Linked DNA regions of Oryctolagus cuniculus. The protein of the gene in region 2 binds, or shares a complex with, the protein of the main gene of each other region. Links are inferred from orthologs where the notes say so. Each region holds a gene or a part of one and is shown on either strand. Other genes may lie near its edges. The genes, in order: RICTOR, MAPKAP1 and MLST8.

Region 1 (5,909 bases), on a different chromosome or scaffold from region 2:
TTCTTCTTCTAAAAGGTGGAGTCATTGACTAATGGTCTTTAAGTAGGCATGGATAGCTATAAAGATAACAGGATGCAGGCTCTTCATGGCTACTTTGTCTAAAATGGTGAAATAGTGTAAAACATAAAGGGATGAAATACAGAACTTGTAATGTCCTGGCCAGACCTCGAGTTCTGTGATTTTTGTTCTGTGCACTAAGTAGAGCAATTTGCACCAAGACGTGAAGGCAAGTCTTTGTTCCTGTTATTTTTTTTTTTTTTTTTTTTTTTTTGACTGGCAGAGTGGACAGTGAGAGAGAGAGACAGAGAGAAAGGTCTTCCTTTGCCGTTGGTTCACCCTCCAATGGCCGCCGCGGCCGGCGCGCTGCGGCCAGCGCACCGCGCTGATCCGATGGCAGGAGCCAGGAACCAGGTGCTTTTCCTGGTCTCCCATGGGGTGCAGGGCCCAAGCACCTGGGCCATCCTCCACTGCACTCCCTGGCCACAGCAGAGGGCTGGCCTGGAAGAGGGGCAACCGGGACAGAATCCGGCGCCCCGACCGGGACTAGAACCCGGTGTGCCGGCGCCGCTAGGCAGAGGATTAGCCTAGTGAGCCGCGGCGCCGGCCCTGTTCCTGTTATTAAAATTACTGTTATTGGCAGGACAAATTTACTTAAAGTAAGGTCATCCTTAAATCGAAGTGCAGTATGAGCAGCACCACGTTGTTTGAATGCACACGTAGTAGGAAAAGCACCTGAAACACATAGATGGTGGGTAGCATGTAAGAAAGCCGTGCTCCTACTTTACTTTTCTTACAATGCACCTTTACAAGTGACATATATATATATATGAATGAAATACACATGCACTATAGGACATTTAAAACATCCAGAGCATACGTAATTCCACAACTGAGGGAGGAAAACCAACCAGCATTCCGATGTCTATCTTTTCAGACTTCTATCTGTGGACACATCCATTTTGTGATGCATCCTTTTAATGTGTGTGTATTTCAGAAGTTTCCAAACCAGGAAATTTGTAACCTCTTGCTTGACTCAATAATGTGAACCATTGTTTCTTATTAACCTACTAGATTCGTATCGTTTTTTGAAACGGCTGCTGCACTTCACACACCTCTCAAGTTTGGTCATTGAAGTGGTCCCACTTGTTCACTATTATTAGCAACAGCAAAAAAAAAAAAAAAAAAAAAAACCAAAAAACTCCAACATTTCTTTTTAGGGTAGAGGTTGTATTTCCTGGCAGCTGAGAAAGAGAAGGGGTTAAGGGTATAGAGCCCCACGTTCAGTCTCTAGGGAGTTAGAAGACGAGTCGAGGACCAAGAGCGAGAGAGCTCATCCTCTTTAGAGTCCATCTGGTCCCAGAGGAAGTTGCTGCATCAGGGGTCAGATGTGTCTATTAGGGTATCAAAGAACACTCGCCCGAATTAAAACTCCTGTCCTTCCCAACTGCTCGATTTGTGTACAGAAATACGCCTTCACAACCGCCCCATCTGCCACCGTTCCGGGAGTTGCAGACACAAGCCGGGACTCCGCTCTCGGCCCCCGCAGAGAGGAAACCGCGTCCCGGGGCCTGCGCGGGGCGCGCGGGGCGCACTCCGCTCCCGGGCCGGGGCCCTCCCGCCACCTCGGCCAGGTGGGCTCCAACTCCACTACCCCGCCGCCCCGACTCTGCCCACCCCCCAGAGCTGAGCGTGGCACGGCTAGGAACAGAACTCAGCGACGCGTTAACTTGGTCAGGGAAAAGCGAGTCTCTTCTCGCAGCGCGGGATTTACGGGAGTCTACACTGCGCGGGGCGCCGCTCCGCACGCTCGTCTGAGCGCGGCCGCGGATTCCAGGGCTAAGCCGGCGGCAGCACGCGCTCCGAGCAGGTGGCCGCTCGGCCGCAGCCGCCCTCCTCTGCCCCTGCGCCCCTCGCTCGGCTCGGACGCCTGGTGTCCGCGGCGGCCGGAGGAGAAGCATCCTCCACGCCGCCAACTCCATCAATGGGACTCCCCGCGTGGGAAACGTCCCCTCCCGGAGGACTTGCCCTCCGACGGCCCAGCCGCTCGCTCGCCTCGCCTCCCTGGGCCGGGGCGGGCGGACGCCACGAGCTCCTCCTCCCGGACCCCGGGTGGACGCGGCGCTCCCTCCGCGGCCGGAGCGCAGCCGGCACCACCCGCCGCCGAGGGGGCGGGGGCGATGCCGCGGGGGGCGGGCGCGGCGCGCGGGGAGGGGAAGGGGTTCTCGCGCGATTGGGCGAGGTTTCCGGTGTTGTGACTGAAACCCGTCAATATGGCGGCGATCGGCCGCGGCCGCTCTCTGAAGAACCTCCGAATACGAGGTAAGCGCGCTGCAGCCCTCACTCCTCACCTCTCGGCGCCCGCCACCCCTGGCACTTGCCTTCCCCTGGCCCTGGGTCGGGGGAGCGGAGCGGGGGCGCTGGCCGGAGCCTGGGCAGCCGCCGCTGGCCTGCGAGCGAATCCTAATTGGGGCTGTGTGTCTGTTTCGCGCAGGGCGGAATGACAGCGGCGAGGAGAACGTCCCGCTGGATCTGACCCGAGGTAACGCGGGGCGCCGAGAGCGCCGGCGAGGGCGCGCTGCTGGGGAGGAGCTGGGGCCGGGGCGGGCCTCGCACGGGACCCGCGACGGGGACGGGGGGCGCAGCCCGAGCCCCGCCTGCCGGCCCGCGGGAGCCCCGCCAGGCCGCCTCGCTGAACCCATCCCCCTTCCCGGTGCCCGCTTCACTCTGCCTGAACCCTTCTCTGGGGGCCTCGGGCTGCCGCGGGGGGGGGGGGCGGCTGGGGAGCCGCGAGCGGAACTGGCGGAGCCGGCGACCCCTGGGCTCGGTGGCCCCCGGGGGCAGCGGCTTCCACCCGTGCCGAAGCTCGTGCCGCCGGCTCCCGGGGCCGGCCGGAGGGAGGTGGAGGTTGTTATTTGGGTTGCAGGAGGATGTTTGAGGGAAGAGCGACCACATCCTGCCCTCCCCGTCTCCCGGCGCAGAAGCCGGACCTGCTGGCTTTTTTGCTCACTGCGTGCCTGCCTTTTTTTTTTTTTTTTTCTCTTTGCCCCGCGTCCTGTGGGGACCGCCAGCATCGGTAGCTCGGTGCTGAGCCCTGGAGCCGGTCAGGACTGCTGCGTGGCTGGTTTCCGCCGTGTTTTCCTTCTGTTTCTGTTTCCCGGGCCGCTGGGACCGTGCTTCGCCGAAGACCGCCCCCTCGCCCTGCTGCAGGTTCATTGTTTACCTCCTGCAGTGGCGACGGGTTTGTTTACACCTTGGGAACTGAGTGACCCTGGCTTCTCTTTTGAAGGACCGGCTCCGGCTCCACTCCGTATTCTCCATAGCAGGGACGGGACCGTAGTGGGGTTTTATTCCACCTTGTCTTGCCGAAGATTGCGTGATTGGGTACTTGCGACGAGGTTCTTTTCTGCTGCACGATAAACAGGATTTGGTCTGCTGGTTCGCGCCAAGTCCCGTTGCGTACCAGCTGTAGCTTGTGGTGTAACGTGGTTCAGCTGCATAGCATCAGTTGCTTGTTGAGCTCTGTAAAGCGCTGTAGGAAGTTGAAGTCGTCGTAAACAGTCGATACGCGGTCGATGTGCTACTTAACCCTATGTTCTTGACGTAACAATCGCTCTCCACGTATTTATGGTGGACGTGGGCTTGGTGTTGAGGATCATCGCTGAATTAAAGCGTAGTATGATTTGTTCTGTATGTCCTGATGGGAGGTAGCCTTTGTAAACTGGAAGGCCGGTTTTCATGGAGCTACGAGAGTGTATTTTTGTAACCGTGTTTTATTCTGCAACTTCAAGGACGGAGTTTTCGTGAACTTTGGTAGGCAAGAGAGTTTCAAAAATACAATATAGTAGGGCTTGAGTACTAAAAATGGCACTGATTACGATCACCAGTGCACTGCTTTGGAGCAGTTTTTCAGCAGCTTAGAGGTTAGAAAGTAGTGAAGAAACATGTCGTCAGCCTTTCGGCTTTTGTGCAGTAGTTTGAAAACTCTATATGACAGACATAGGGAAAAAATTTGTATGAAATGTTTGCTGTTTTCAAGGAAACCTGTGAACAAAAATAAGGGTCATTCTTAACAGGCCTGAAATTTAGCATTTTGAGTTAAATAACAGATGTAGTTTATTAGAGATTTGTGTACACACACACACACACAAGCATGTGTGTTTTTAGAGGGAGGTGAAAAGTACATACTAGGTAAACTTGAGGTCAATTTGTGCATTAAAAACCTACTTGGGCATGCTAGAAATAAATTTTAGTTGTACCTTAAATTTTGTTGAATTTATTGAATTTGTTGAGCTATATTTGTATTTCATTGTTTTTCTGATATCAAAAATTTTGGTTGTATAAAAGCTCAGATATAAATTTGGATACCTTGGGTTTACTCTAGTTTTACTCAGGTACACATGTAGCTCTGTATGTTTATTATTTAAAATGCTATATTCTCTAATAATTTATTTTATAAATAACTGTTCATAAGCATTTCCAGGATTATATAAAAATAATACAGAGACTACTGTTTGTTTGCCCTGACAAAATGTATTTCAGTTTGGAATACATGTACACAGCCAGTTGAAACCAATTTCACAAGTGATTTACAACTATGAGTGAGAGGTTACATGAGAACTCTATTCCTGAATCATAAGGAAGTTTATAATAAAGAAAATCTGAGTTAGATTCATTTTATAGCAACACTGTTTAAAGAAACTATTATTCTGACAGACGTTTCATTGTTCAAAAAAGGCTTGTGGATCTAACTTGAAGAAAGTTCATGAGGAATTAAACTTTAGTAATGATTTGAGAACTGTGAGGCAGTCTGGGTTACAGCTGAAGGGCAGCTGTTTGTGGATTGAATTACAGTATGTAAAAAAGATAAAGTTCAGGCAACCAAATAACTTTTTGATTAATGTCAAGGCGCCGTTTTCTCTTACTCTAATTATTTTCATGTAATCTTTGAGAGGTTTATTGTATAGATATCTAACAAAGTTCTTTATAAAATAGAAGTTAAAATCATTGTAACCCCTAAGGGAGCCATTAGTGTGTGATGAAAAAGAGCTAACTATGAAGTCAAATAATTCTGGGTTGTAATCTCAGCTGTGATATTTAGGAGGTGGGTGATTTGGCGCAACTTATTTGACCTTGCTTAACCCCTCCTTTCTTCATCTCAAAAAGAAGAGGTAACCTCAAAGGATTATTGAGAATCTGAGAAATAAATGAGGTAGTTCTTATAGTACTCAGTACAGGATCAGGTACTTTGTCATATTAGCAACTTTCCTACCATGTCAAATCAAGATTCTTAAATCACATTGGAGATATTTCAAATAATTGTTTAGAGTATGTACATGTTAATAAGAAGTAAGGATTTTGGTATTCAAGCTTCCTTTTGTTGAGACCTTGTATTGTACTAATTAAGTATAGTTTATCTGAAGTAGAGGTCCTGAGTGTAATGACTATAAAAAGAGAACTCTTTTTTTAAAAAATAAAGATTGCCAGTAAATTAAGTCTAATGAAGTACAACCCGTTATATGCACTTAAGATGAAATGTGATACTTTATTTTATAGAATCTTAGAATTTTTCTGTGACTTCAGAAAATTTCTTAAGCTGACTAGGCTAGTCTTACGAGCTTCTTGGGGCCTGCTGGTGTTCTAAGGTTCTTTGATTCTGGTACTAGTGTTAGTGCTGTGCTTCCTACTTGGAGTTTTGCAGTTAAAAATGTTGATGAATTAAGTTTGACCTAGGATCAGGATTTTGTAGTAGATTCCACAGTGAACTTGTTGATCATTTTTGCTTTTCATTTTATTCTCTTAGCTACTCTACTTAATTTGTGAAAGTCCCCAATATTTGCTATTGATATCATTAAATACTGTCTCTGTGCTGCCTGCCAAAATGTATTTTGAAACTCAAATGCTTCCCTTAG
Region 2 (6,108 bases):
TGTAACTATTTCAAATAAATAATAAATAAATAATTTATTTTTTATTTAGTAAATATAAATTTCCAAAGTACAGTTTATGGATTACATTGGCTTTCCCCCCCATATTTCCCTCCCACTCACACCCCTCCCATCCCCCACTCCCTCCCATTCCATTCACATCAAGATTCATTTTCAATTCTCTTTATATACAGAAGATCGATTCAGTATATATTAAGTAAAGATTTCAACAGTTTGCACCCACACAGAAACACAAAGTGTAAAAATACTGTTTCAGTACTAGTTATAGCATTACTTCACATTGGACAACACATTAAGGACAGATCCCACATGAGAAGTAAGTACACAGTGACTCCTGTTGTTGATTTAACAATTTGACACTCTTGTTTATGGCATCAGTAATCTCCCTAGGCTCTAGTCATGAGTTGCCAAGGCTATGGAAGCCTTTTGGGTTTGCCGACTTCGATCTTATTCCAACAGGGTCACAGTCAAAGTGGAAGTTCTCTCCTCCCTTCAGAGAAAGGTACCTCCTTCTTTGATGGCCCCGTTCTTTTCACTGGGATCTCACCCGTAGAGATCTTTCATTTAGGTCTTCTTCTTCTTTTTTTTTTTCCCCCAGTGTGTCTTGGCTTTCCATGCCTAAAATACTCTCATGGGCTCTTCAGTCGGATCCGAATGCCTTAAGGGCTGATTCTGAGGCCAGAGTGCTGTTTAGGACATCTGCCATTCTATGAGTCTGCTGTGTATCCTGCTTCCCATGTAGGATTGTTGTCTCCCTTTCTGATTCTATCAGTTAGTATTACAAAATGAATTCTATCTGGGTCTCCCACATGGGTGGGAGGGACTCACTCATGCCATCATCTGCTACTTTCCCAGGCACGTTAGCATGAAGCTTGATCCCAAGTGGGGCAGCTGAGATCTTTACCCAGACTCCAATATGAGATGCTGGCATTGCCGTTGGTGGCTTAACCTGCTTCTACACAGTGCCCACCCCAGAATTATTTTAACCCATAGTCAAATAACTTCTTGAGGGCAGAGTCTCTGGCTTTTTTACAACCGAATCTCCAGTGCCTAGGCTGGGCACCCATAAGTACCTGCTTATTGACAGGTGTAGTAACAGTGGTAAGTACTCAGTATTAGCCACCTGCTTGGCTGCATTCTATGGAGTTCTACGTATTAGCTCATTCAGTCCTCACAACGGTTATGACTTTTTTGTTTCAGTCTTTTTTTTAAAAGATCTATTGTATTTATTTGAAAGTTAGAGTGACAGAGATAGGTAGTACAGAAAGAGATCTTCCATCCGTTGGTTCATTCTCCAAATGACCATGATGGTTGGGGCTGGGCCAGGCCAAAGCCAGGAGCCAGGTACTCCATCAGGATCCCAAGTGGGTGCAGGGGTCCATGTACTTGGCCCATCCTGTGCTGCTTTCCCAGGAGCATTAACAGGAAGCTGGATGGGAAGTGGACCAGCCGGGACATGAACCAGTACCCTGATATGAGAACTGGCATTGCAGGCTGCAGCTTAACCTACTGTTGCACAAGGTCTGGCTCTGTTACTTTTGATTTCCATTCTACAGATAAGGAAATTTAAAGAGGTAGCTTGGAGAGACGAAGCTACAAAACTCCTAAGTGGAGAGAGTGTTCAGTCTTTAGACTCCATGAGCGACCCGCAGGTCCAGTCGATTTCGATTTCACACAGGTCTTGGCCGTGGGAGGGACGCTCAGGCAGCTGGGTTTCAGACTGGAGCCCAGGAAAGCAGAGAAAACGAGAGAAAGGTTTGGGGGGAAGTGGGGGAACCTACCCAACCTTTCTGTCCACCCGGCCAGAGCGCCCCCGACAGGTCCCCGCCGGAACCACGGAGGGCAGGTGCAGGGCGCGCCCGCACCGACCGTGCGGTGCCAGCACCCAGCACCCCGTGCGCCTCCCTGCCGTCCTCGCCGCGGACCCGCGTCTGGGCACTACACACAATGAGGGAGGTCGCGGCACCTCCTGCGGGTGCGTGCCGTCAGCCACTGTGCGGCCCCTCACCCCTCACCCCGTTTGATTCTCACAGCCATCCCGTCATCCCGGAACTGCTGCTACGGACGGGAAAGCCGAGGCTCCGAGGGGGCAGCTGCAGTGTCCAGGGGTACACTGCAAGTCAGCAGCGGCATTCGAACCCAGGGCTTTCGGATACACGCGCTAGGCTGCCTCGTTCCTCATTTCTGGATGAACTGGGGGCTCTTCTCTTTGCAAGTGGCAAGAACGAGGGCTCCACGGGGATCGCTGACGTCGATTTCCGTCCCAGGAAAGCCGGGCGCGAGCGAACCTCGCCGGGATTCCCAGGCTCGGACCCAGGCCTCTACCGACCCCGGAGAAGAACGCGCATGCGCACGGCCCCCCGCCCCCCGGGAAGTGGCTCTCGACTCTCGAGCTTGCGCACTGCGTTCCCCAGCCAGAGGCGCCTTCCTGGTCGGGGACTTCCGGTGCGCGGGGGTGCGGTTCCGGGTCGTGGCGCGGCTCGGGGTAACAGGGCTGCTGCTCGGCCGGTCGGCGGCGGCGAGCAGCCGGGACATGAGGGCTAGTCCGGGCGACGGCAGCTGAGAGGGCCGGGAGGAGCACCGGTCCCCGAGGATCCCGAGAGTGCAGAGTCGGGGCAGGGGCCGGGAGGCGTGGGGGAGCCGGGCCCTCCTCTCAGGAACGTTTCCCAAGGCCAGCCCGGCCCGTAGTGTGGAAGCAGCTTCAGGTAAAGGTTGCCCCAGCCGCTAGCTCCCTTGCCCGCCCGCCTGCCCGCCGGCCGGCCCGCTCGGCCTCTCACGGGGCCTGGCGGCTCGGATCCCCGGCGCTGCCTGCCCAGCGGGCCGCCCGTCAGGCCCCTGCTCCGGTGGTCAGCGGCAGCCGTTCCCTGGCCCCTTCCAGGAGCGGAGGCTGCCGTGAGCCTGACGTCCGGGTGTGGACCCCGTCGTGTGGGGTGGGGGCGCGGGCGCAGGTGGCTCCTGCGGTTTCTGTAGGTGCCCCGCTCTTCACAGTGTGAACATCGAGTTCTTCAGGTGTTGCGTGCGTGGTCCTGTCTCGTCCCCCTGCACGGATGAACAGCCCCGCTGAGTTTTTGTTAGCTGGAGTGCTGCTGCAACTTTGGGTCAGGTTTTTTTTTTTTTTTTTTTTTTTTATTTGTGGGAGTCTTCTGGATCTGTTTAAGGTTGGAGAAAAAAATTGTGTACACAAGGGTAGTATTTTAACCAGAGACACCCCTTCCCCAAATTGACTCAGAAATCGGATAAAACTGCATTCTGAATGAACGCAAGTGCTGTTTGAAGCCCACCGAAGTGGCACCGTGGAAAGCATCATGTTGTTGTAAACCCAAGTCAGCAAAGTTGAAAACTTCTCGGGTGTGACCCAGTGGCGGTACACCGCTAGAAAAAGCCGGACTTCTCGTGCTGTTTGGACAGGCAGGCGGGGGTGGATCTTCAGCGTTAAAACCCACCAGGACAGCTAACGAGGCACCCTGCTGTAGTCTCGGGTGCTGAGAGCCCACGCCGGGTGCTCCCGTGGTGCCGGGGGCGCCCTTGATGAAGTGATAATGGTTTTCATCCTCTCCAGCGTACCCACGTGCGAGCTCTCTGGGCCTGTGGCGTGTGCTGGTAGCCCCTCTCCCTCCCACTGTGGGCCAGACCACACTCGTGCCTGTGCGCCCCCCGACCTGGCTCGGGGCAGAGGCCCCCACTCGGATCCGTTGCTCTAGGCTCTCACGTCGCCCTTTGTCTTTGGCAGGGCGTGAGAAGGTTTCCCCTTTTCTGTGGTCCTCTCGAGAAACGCCCCTTGGCCTAGCTGAAGTTGGCCTCCCTCACCCAGTTTGGGACAACCCCAACTAGAAATGATTTCTCTAGACTCCTGTAAGCACTCATTGTTGTATTTACAGTTATTTCATTTGGCAAACAGTTACTGAGTATGGGTGTGTGCCAGGGGCAGTGTTAAGCAGTGTGCAGATACATCAGACTGGGTTCTGGCCTGCAGGGAGCTCAGCTTAGTGAGACAGATAAGGAAATTATAATTCCAACACAGTGATCAGTACAGAGTTCTTTTTGTGATACATTTGTACAGAAGGGGGACTGGTCGTTCACTTTTGAGGGGTGGGATATGGCCAGGGGATGCTTTGTAATGCATACTTTATTCAGTATTTATGTATTGCATGTTATATATCAGTTTTTCTTGTTTTATCATTTTAACCTCAATTTATAGATTAGGAAGACTTAGGATAAATGATGTAACTGATACAAGACAGCCATGGTCAAACCCAGATCTCTCTGATGCTTAAATCTGTACTTTTCCATTACTTGGCTTGCCGTCTTTCTCATCCCATAGCTATCTAATCAAGAACATCCTGAAACTATACAAAGGAAAAAATATGAATATTAAAGTGCATGGTACTAAGAATCATTTGAATGTATCACAGCCTTCCAAGGCAAGTTGGTAGTAGCTGATCACCTCAACTTTGAATATGGGCAAAGAAGATAGTCTAGAGAATTAGCATGGGCTCTGTGTTCAGTTCCTGGTCTCTCTTCTGACTAGATAAGTGACCTTTGGCAAGTTTCTTAACCCTAGGCATCATTTTCCTCAACTAGGCGTAGGGATGAGGGATGCTACTGACCTCACAGGTGTTCGGAATATGTAGTGAGCTACTGTGGATAAAGGGCCTGGTGTAGGTTGAGCATCCCTGATCCAAAAATCTAAAATCTGAAATTTTCTTTTTTAATTTCTTTTTTTTTGAGAGGCAAAAGGACACACAGTTCCCAATCACTGGTCCACTCTCCGAATTTCTGCAATGGCTGGGGCTGGGCCAGGGCAAAAATCAGGAGCCAGGAGCTCAGTGAAGGTCTCCCACATGGATGGCAGGAACCCAGTCCCTTGTGTCCTGATTGCATCAGCAGGAAGCTGGGAGTCAGGAGCTGGAAATGGGTAGGGACCCCAGGCGCCTTGACATGTGGGCTTCTCAAGTGGGTCCCAGCCACCGAGCCAAACACCCACCCCCAAGAGCAGAAACTTTGAGCACTACATGACTATCAAAAAGCTTCAGTTTTTGGAGTATTTGGAATTTTGGAATTTTGGATTAAGCCTATGGAAATACTTCAAAACCTGAAAAAATTAAAATCCTATATAGTTCTGGTCTCAAATATCTTTTTTAAGATTTATTTATTTATTTGAAAGTCAGAGTTACTCAGAGAGGAGAGGCAGAGAGATAGAGAAGTCTTCTATCTACTGGTTCACTCCCCAGCTGGCCACAACGGCTGGAGCTGTGCCTATCTGAAGCCAGGAGCCAGGAGCTTCCTCCAGGTCTCCCACGAAGGTGCAGGGGCCCAAGCACATGGGCCATCTTCTACTACTTTCCCAGGCCATAGCAGAGAGCTTGATCAGAAGTGGAGCAGCTGGGACTTGAACCGGCACCCATATGGGATGCCAGCACTGCAGGCGGTGGCTTTACTTGCTATGCCATAGCGCCGGCCCTGGGTCCCAAATATTTTGGATAAGAGACATTCAACTTGTGCATGGCAAAGCCTCCAAGATGACAGGTGTGAAATTTGGAGGAATAATGCCTGTGACGTGGCTCTAGAGTGCGGATGAGCCACAGCCTGAGCAAAGCAAGCCGTTAGCTCTTTGGTCAGAGTGTTGGGGTAAAGGGAGGGGCAGTGGAGGTCAGAGTCTGGCAGATTGAGTGCCAGGCAAGAGGGGGAAATTCTAGTGGTCTTGCTTTTTTTTCCCTTTTTTTTTTCCTAAATGATTTATTTCTTTGAAAGAGTTACAGAGAGGGAGAGACAGACCTTCCATCTGCTGGTTCACTCCCCAAATGGCCAGGGCTGGGCCAGGCTGAAGCCAGGAGCCAGGAGCCAGGAGCTTCTTCTGGGTCTCCCACATGGGTGCAGGGGCCTAAGGACTTGGGCCATCTTCTGCTGTTTTCCCAGGCACATTAGCAGGGAGCTGGGTCCCGAGTGGAGCAGTTGGGACTTCAGCCAGTGCTCTCATGTGGGGTGCCAGTGTTGTGGGTGGCCATTTAACTCACGATACTACAACACCAGCCCTGGAAATTCTAGTTTCTGCTCATAACTTTCACAATTAAATACTGTGAGGATGTATGA
Region 3 (5,930 bases), on a different chromosome or scaffold from region 2:
AGCCGCAGGAGGCGGCCCCTCTGGGGGGAGACCTGGATGAAGCTCCTGGCTTCCGGCTTCGGCCTGGCTCTGCCCTAGCCATCACGGCCATTTGGAGAGTGAACCAGCGATGGAAGATCTCCCCCGACCCCCTACCCCGGTAACTCTGCCTTTCAAATGAACACATTTAAAAAATAATACACTTCACAGTCTTTCTGAATTTTTAAAACTTATTTATGGGGAGAGCACAGCACACCACCCACCGGTCACTTCTCGAATGTCTGTGATCGCTGGACAGCGGGCCAGGAGCTGCTTCTGGGTCTCCCGTGCGGGTGCAGGGGCCCCAGGACTTGGGCCACCACCTGCTGCCTCTCAGGTGAGCACTGGCAGGAAGCCGGAGCCGGAACCGCGGCACTCTGATGCGGGAGCCAGCACCTCCAGGAGCACCACGGCACCCGCCCCCAAACCTGGGTTTCTGAAAGACCCTCTCCAAGGTGGGGGGCAACCAGGAGGGGGCAGAAGCGGGTGTTGTGGCAGGCGAGGTTGTGGGGGTGGGGGGTGGGCTCCAGGCAGAGCCGAGGCCAGGCCAGCAGTGAAGGTGGCCTGGGTCCCACCCAGCTGCGACACGCAGGGCCTGGCGGGGGGGTGGCCGCCCGGGCTGGGGGAGGGGCTGGCGTCTGGGGGGCATCTGAGAGCCAACGCGCAGCAGGGAGGCTCGGAGGAGCTGGAGAGAGACAGACAGGGCGGGGGGGGGGTTCGGGGGGTTTGGGAAGCCCTGCCGCTGGGGCTTGGTCCGTCCAGGGGAGATTGGGTGCCCGGGCAAGGACAGAGGTGATGCCCACTTGCGGGCTCAGTGCTGCCAAGCGCAGAGCAGAGCCAGGAAGGGGAGGGGAAGTATCTGGGTGGTCAGCCAGGGGACAGCAGAGCCTGGCGGGATTCTGAGAGCTGTGGGACACAAGGCAGACAGGATGGAGTTGAGAAGTGACGGGGCCGCCTGGAGCTGTCTGCAGCAGAGGGTTCTGGGGTTGCTGTATGGTGTTCACAGGCTCAGGGCGCAGGACGGACCCTGGCCTGGCCGTGGAGCCGAGGGATGAGCTCACACCTTGCGTCCAAGCGCCGGGGTCTCAGGCCTTGTGCGGCTCGCGGTGCAGCCTCCTGCCGCCGCACAGCCTGGGACGGCTCCACCGCCTAGGTCCCAGCACCCCGCGGGTGGGGGATCCCGATCACGTCCTCGGCTCCCAGCTCCAGCTCGGCTCACCCAAGGCCGTTGTGGAATGCGAGTACTCTCTCTTTAATTGATTAATAAAAACTTCAATTAATTACAGATTTTAAAAGGCTAGGGGTAGGAAGGAGGCAGGGAAGGTACAAGAAGGAAGATTCCTGGGGATGGGGGGGACTGGAGCCACATACACCTGCTCTGAGCCTGGAGGGGACGGCGATCCGTCTACACCCGCTCCGAGGCTAGAGCGGACACAGGTGTCATGGAGCCAGCAGTGCAGAGGCTAGGGACGGAGAAGCCGGCGGAGGGGGCTCCTCGGCTGAGGACTGGACAGGTCTGCAAGGCCAGGACGAGGCGAGCAGAACCACGGATGCCCTGGCACATTTTACTCTCGTTTAATAACACGTCCATGCCTAAGCAAGCCTCACCAACAGAAAAACTACTCGTCCCAGCCTGCGCGGCGGAGGGCATGGGGACGCGACTGTCCCCTGGGCCCAAGCTGGGACAGGCGCCGCCTTCAGAGCGCCGGGCGCCGCTGCGCTCAAAGGGACTCCCCCGCCCCAGGACTTTGGTCTCGTCCCCACCCACCTCCACCGCCCCCCCCGCGCCACCGGGCTCCATGGTCTCGCCTCAAGTGCCCATCGATAACTCTACGCTCGGCCTTGGCCTCGATCGATTCGCTCCAACTCCCCTCGCCGTCCTGGAGCACGGAGGAGTGCGGAGCCGCATGTAAGGTACGGAGGCCGTGGCGAGGCCTGGGAAGCGGCTTCTGGGTGGCCGGGAGAGCGTGGCTGGGGAGAAGGAGCCGGCAGGACGGGCCCACGGCGGCCGACGGGGCACGGGGCAGCCGGGGTCCGACCGGACTGCTCCCCCACCGCCATCGGACCCGGACACCGCCTGCTACGCATGCGCAGCCGCAGCGCTCGGCTCCCCCCCACCCCGGCTCGCCCTCCGCCCTGCGCACGCGCAGCCCGCCCCTGCGGCAGAGCGACGCCCTGGGCGTGACTGCCCCCTGCCGGCCCCAGGCGGGATGGCGTCCCAGCCGTGCTCGTGCGGCGGGGAGCGCGGCGCGCGTCCCCATCTCCCAGGTGGGAACGCGCCGCGCGGGCCCGTCACCCGCTCAGCACGCGTGGGCATGCCCTGAGTGCTTGCCGTGTGTGCCCTCAGATGCTCTGACCCTTGGCGCCAGCCTTCAGCCCTCGGGCCCGCGCAGGCCCCGCCATGAACACCTCCCCAGGCACGGTGGGCAGCGACCCCGTCATCTTGGCCACCGCCGGCTATGACCACACGGTGCGGTTCTGGCAGGCCCACAGCGGGATCTGCACCCGCACGGTGCAGCACCAGGACTCTGTATCCCCGCGGAGGGGGAGAGGGTGGCCGGGCGGGGTGGGAAGCCCAAAGCAGCTCTGGCCAGCTGTGCAGCCTCCTTGACAGAACCAGCAGGTGAACGCGCTGGAGATCACGCCCGACCGCAGCATGATCGCCGCTGCAGGTACTGGGACCCCTGACCTCTGACCCTGACTCCCGCGGGTCCTCCCCGGGCACAGGCGCACTCGAGTTCTGCTCGCGTCCCCAGGGTACCAGCACATCCGCATGTATGACCTCAACTCCAATAACCCCAACCCCATCATCAGCTACGACGGGGTCAACAAGAACATCGCGTCGGTGGGCTTCCACGAGGATGGCCGCTGGATGTACACGGGTGGAGAGGACTGCACGGCCCGGATCTGGGACCTCAGGTGCGGGGCGGGGGCGAGGCCCCGAGTGTGTGCAGAGCCCGAGAGGGGCGAGGCCTGGAGACCAGGCACAGCCCGAGAGGGGCGAGGCCCGGAGACCAGGCACAGCCTGAGAGGGGCGAGGCCCGGAGAGCGCGCAGAGCCCGAGCCGGTGTTCTGTGCAGCTGAGGGGAAGTGGGGAAAACGGAATCGGTGGATTGCATCACTGCCTTGCGTCCAAGGGGCCGGCTTTTTGTTTTCTTAGCTTTTTGTGTCTGAAAGGCACAGTGACACAGAGGGGGAGAGGCAGCGTCCATCCACTGGCTCCGCCCCACATGGCTGCAGCTGGGCCTGAGCAGGCCAGCGCCTGGAGTCAGGAGCTCCATCCTGGTCTCCCAGAGGCACTGGCAGGGAGCGGCCTGGGCTCGAAGCAGTGTTCCGGCACCGCAGGGGGAGCTTCAGTCGCTGGCCGCAACCCCAGCCCTAGGGGGCGCCTTTTAGTCCTCTCAGGCCGCGGCCATCGGCTGACGTGTGCGCGCCCCACCCCGCAGGTCCCGGAACCTGCAGTGCCAGCGGATCTTCCAGGTGAACGCGCCCATTAACTGCGTGTGCCTGCACCCCAACCAGGTGAGGAGCGGCTGCCGGCGGGCTCCCGGGCCTGCAGGGCAGGGGTCCCGCCCGGCCTCACCTGCCCTGCCCTGCCCTGCCCTTCCCTGCAGGCGGAGCTCATCGTGGGCGACCAGAGCGGCGCTATACACATCTGGGACCTGAAGACGGACCACAACGAGCAGCTGATCCCCGAGCCCGAGGTCTCCATCACATCTGCCCACATCGACCCCGACGCCAGCTACATGGCCGCCGTCAACAGCACCGTGAGTCCGCTGCGGGTGGCGGCTGGGGCAGCCCAGCTCCCCGTCCCGGGCCCTGCCGCCCACTCAGCCGCCACAGCCCAGGACCGCCCAAGTCTGGCCACTTCCCCGAGAGCCGCTGGCTCCCCAGCCACCCCCGTGGGCGCCAGGAGCAAGGCCCTGGCCCTGCTGGGCTCGCCGGCCTCCTCTGCTCCCTTTGCTTCGTGGAGACCCCAGCCCTGTGTCCCCAGACCTCCCTCCTCCTGGCCTCCTGCCTGCAGGCCAGTGGCATCCTTAAGGAGGTTGCGTGTGAGCCTCCCACTCACCCACAACCCCGGCCGAGGTCCCCGTGCGCGGACAGCCCCCAGGGTGGCCTCCCGTTCACCCGCACCCCCGGCCGAGGTCCCCGTGCGCGGACAGCCCCCAGGGTGGCCTCCCGTTCACCCGCACCCCCGGCCGAGGTCCCCGTGCATGGACGGCCCCCAGGGTGGCCTCCCGTTCACCCACACCCCCGGCCGAGGTCCCCGTGCGCGGACGGCCCCCAGGGTGGCCTCAAGCTCACCCGCACCCCCGGCCGAGGTCCCCGTGCGCAGATGGCCCCCAGGGTGGCCTCCCGCTCACCCGCACCCCCGGCCGAGGTCCCCGTGTGCGGACGGTCCCCAGGGTGGCCTCCCGCTCACCCGCACCCCCGGCCGAGGTCCCCGTGCGCAGCTGGCCCCCAGGGTGGGTCCTGGCTCCGGGCTCAGCCTCCAGGGTGCGCTTCATTCTGCTTCCTGTGACTTCCCTAGGGAAACTGCTACGTGTGGAACCTGACGGGGGGCATCGGTGACGAGGTGACCCAGCTCATCCCCAAGACCAAGATCCCAGCGCACACGCGCTACGCCCTGCAGTGCCGCTTCAGCCCCGACTCCACGTGCGTGCCGCCTGCGGGCTGCGGGCCGTCGGGCCCACCTGGTGCATGGCAGGGGGCCCGGGCGGGAAGGGCGGCCGGGTGACACGCCCCGTGCGCCTCCTGCCCTCCAGGCTCCTGGCCACCTGCTCGGCTGACCAGACCTGCAAGATCTGGAGGACGTCCAACTTCTCCCTGATGACGGAGCTCAGCATCAAGAGCGGCAACCCCGGGGAGTCGTCCCGCGGCTGGATGTGGGGCTGCGCCTTCTCCGGGGACTCGCAGTACATCGTCACCGGTGAGCTGGCCGCCCGCCCCGCCGGGCCTGCCTCGGGCCGGGCTGGCCAGGCTGGGGCTGTGCCTGAGCCTCCCCCCTGCCTCCCCGCAGCTTCCTCTGACAACCTGGCCCGGCTCTGGTGTGTGGAGACTGGAGAGATTAAGAGAGAGTACGGCGGCCACCAGAAAGCTGTGGTCTGCTTGGCCTTCAATGACAGCGTGCTGGGCTAGCCTGTGCCTCCTGGGGACGGCCGCCGGCTGTGTGGCAGACCACGCAGGCTCGCCTCTGCCCACCCAGGCCGGCTGGACCCCCCAGTGGCTCGGTGCTGCCAGGCTGCTCCGAGGCGCTCAGCTCTCCGCCGCGGCCCCTGAGGCAGGCTGCACCTCACAGCTGGGCCCGGTGGCTCGGGGGGCTGGTGCGCACCCCCAAGCCAGTCCTCCCCGCCCTCCCGCTCCAGGCCCCCTTTCAAGCCCCGAGGCCACAGAGGAGAGTGGCCGCACTGCCAGGTGGGAGCTTTATTGGTGCATTCCAGGCGGCCTCCGTGGTGGGAGGTGCCGGCGGCCCGTGGGGCGGGGGCCGGGCTGGCCAGGCCAGGGGCTTAGTCCGGGAGATAATAAAAGCAGACGGACACGCAGATGTGGCTTGGGAAGCAGATGTCCATGCAAAGGTAGATCAGCCGCTGCCTCTGGGGCCCTGGGGGGAGGGGCTCGTGAGTCCCGAGGGCCCGGCCGGCCCTGCCACGGCCCCTCCTCGCACAGCGCGTGCCGACTCACCCTCTGCCCGCCGGGCCCAGTAGATGGGGGTCTCTGCACAGAGGCGCTGCACCGCAGCCCCGACCTGGGCGGGGTCCACTGCACGGCTCCCGAGCACGGCCAGCAGCTCCTGGCTGCGGTGGGTATCCTGGCCGGGGCTGCAAGACCCCTGGGCCTGCAGAGAAGGCTCTGGTGGGCCAGGGGTCGGGGTGCGGCCAGCTGCCCAGGCCCCGCCCCCAGCTCTTGTCAGC

What was found.
Region 1: the proteins of MAPKAP1 (region 2) and RICTOR are in contact, whole or in part, in a cryo-EM structure (PDB 7PE7), measured with the Homo sapiens proteins. The link is inferred for Oryctolagus cuniculus from reciprocal best matches to the Homo sapiens genes MAPKAP1 and RICTOR. Residues at the interface, in NP_001006618.1 of Homo sapiens: Ala2, Phe3, Leu4, Asp5, Asn6, Pro7, Ile9, Ile10, Leu11, Ala12, His13, Ile14, Arg15, Gln16, Ser17, His18, Thr20, Ser21, Asp22, Asp23, Thr24, Met26, Cys27, Met29, Val30, Leu31, Ile32, Asp35, Val36, Ser84; in NP_689969.2 of Homo sapiens: Arg108, Gln137, Glu140, Thr144, Leu147, Arg148, Arg151, Lys152, Thr155, Arg182, Met183, Arg185, Ala186, Ala189, Cys192, Glu193, Leu196, Leu220, Arg222, Ile223, Glu225, Ala226, Leu227, Thr229, Thr230, His233, Asn236, Arg293, Trp295, Glu844.
Region 3: the proteins of MAPKAP1 (region 2) and MLST8 are in contact, whole or in part, in a cryo-EM structure (PDB 7PE8), measured with the Homo sapiens proteins. The link is inferred for Oryctolagus cuniculus from reciprocal best matches to the Homo sapiens genes MAPKAP1 and MLST8. Residues at the interface, in NP_001006618.1 of Homo sapiens: Lys102, Cys103, Lys104, Asn105, Ile106, Gln107, Trp108, Lys109, Arg111, Asn112, Ser113, Lys121, Leu123, Phe124, Glu125, Lys126, Lys127, Ser128, Leu129, Gly137, Lys138, Gln139, Ser140, Ile141, Leu142, Val144, Arg145, Leu146; in NP_001186102.1 of Homo sapiens: Ala29, His30, Pro77, Ile78, Ile79, Ser80, Tyr81, Asp82, Gly83, Arg98, Arg110, Ile111, Trp112, Gln120, Cys121, Gln122, Arg123, Ile124, Asn139, Gln140, Ala141, Leu157, Lys158, Ile203, Glu206, Ser279, Gly280, Asp281, Gln283, Asp322.

The regions. Positions count from the first base shown.
Region 1 is NC_091445.1:64,474,402-64,480,310, reverse strand, and holds the start of RICTOR (rapamycin-insensitive companion of mTOR), read left to right. Parts: upstream 1-2,211; 5' UTR 2,212-2,270; coding exon 2,271-2,319; intron 2,320-2,491; coding exon 2,492-2,539; intron 2,540-3,673; exon of another isoform or gene 3,674-3,810; intron 3,811-5,909. UniProt on the Homo sapiens protein: Component of the mechanistic target of rapamycin complex 2 (mTORC2), which transduces signals from growth factors to pathways involved in proliferation, cytoskeletal organization, lipogenesis and anabolic output.
Region 2 is NC_091432.1:229,456,343-229,462,450, reverse strand, and holds the start of MAPKAP1 (target of rapamycin complex 2 subunit MAPKAP1), read left to right. Parts: upstream 1-2,448; 5' UTR 2,449-2,723; intron 2,724-6,108. UniProt on the Homo sapiens protein: Component of the mechanistic target of rapamycin complex 2 (mTORC2), which transduces signals from growth factors to pathways involved in proliferation, cytoskeletal organization, lipogenesis and anabolic output.
Region 3 is NC_091450.1:33,048,458-33,054,387, reverse strand, and holds MLST8 (target of rapamycin complex subunit LST8), read left to right. Parts: upstream 1-1,802; 5' UTR 1,803-1,932; intron 1,933-2,365; 5' UTR 2,366-2,419; coding exon 2,420-2,548; intron 2,549-2,638; coding exon 2,639-2,690; intron 2,691-2,774; coding exon 2,775-2,937; intron 2,938-3,464; coding exon 3,465-3,540; intron 3,541-3,632; coding exon 3,633-3,785; intron 3,786-4,549; coding exon 4,550-4,674; intron 4,675-4,784; coding exon 4,785-4,948; intron 4,949-5,038; coding exon 5,039-5,157; 3' UTR 5,158-5,525; downstream 5,526-5,930. Other genes in the region: BRICD5 (BRICHOS domain-containing protein 5), read right to left, coding at 5,526-5,620, 5,701-5,854.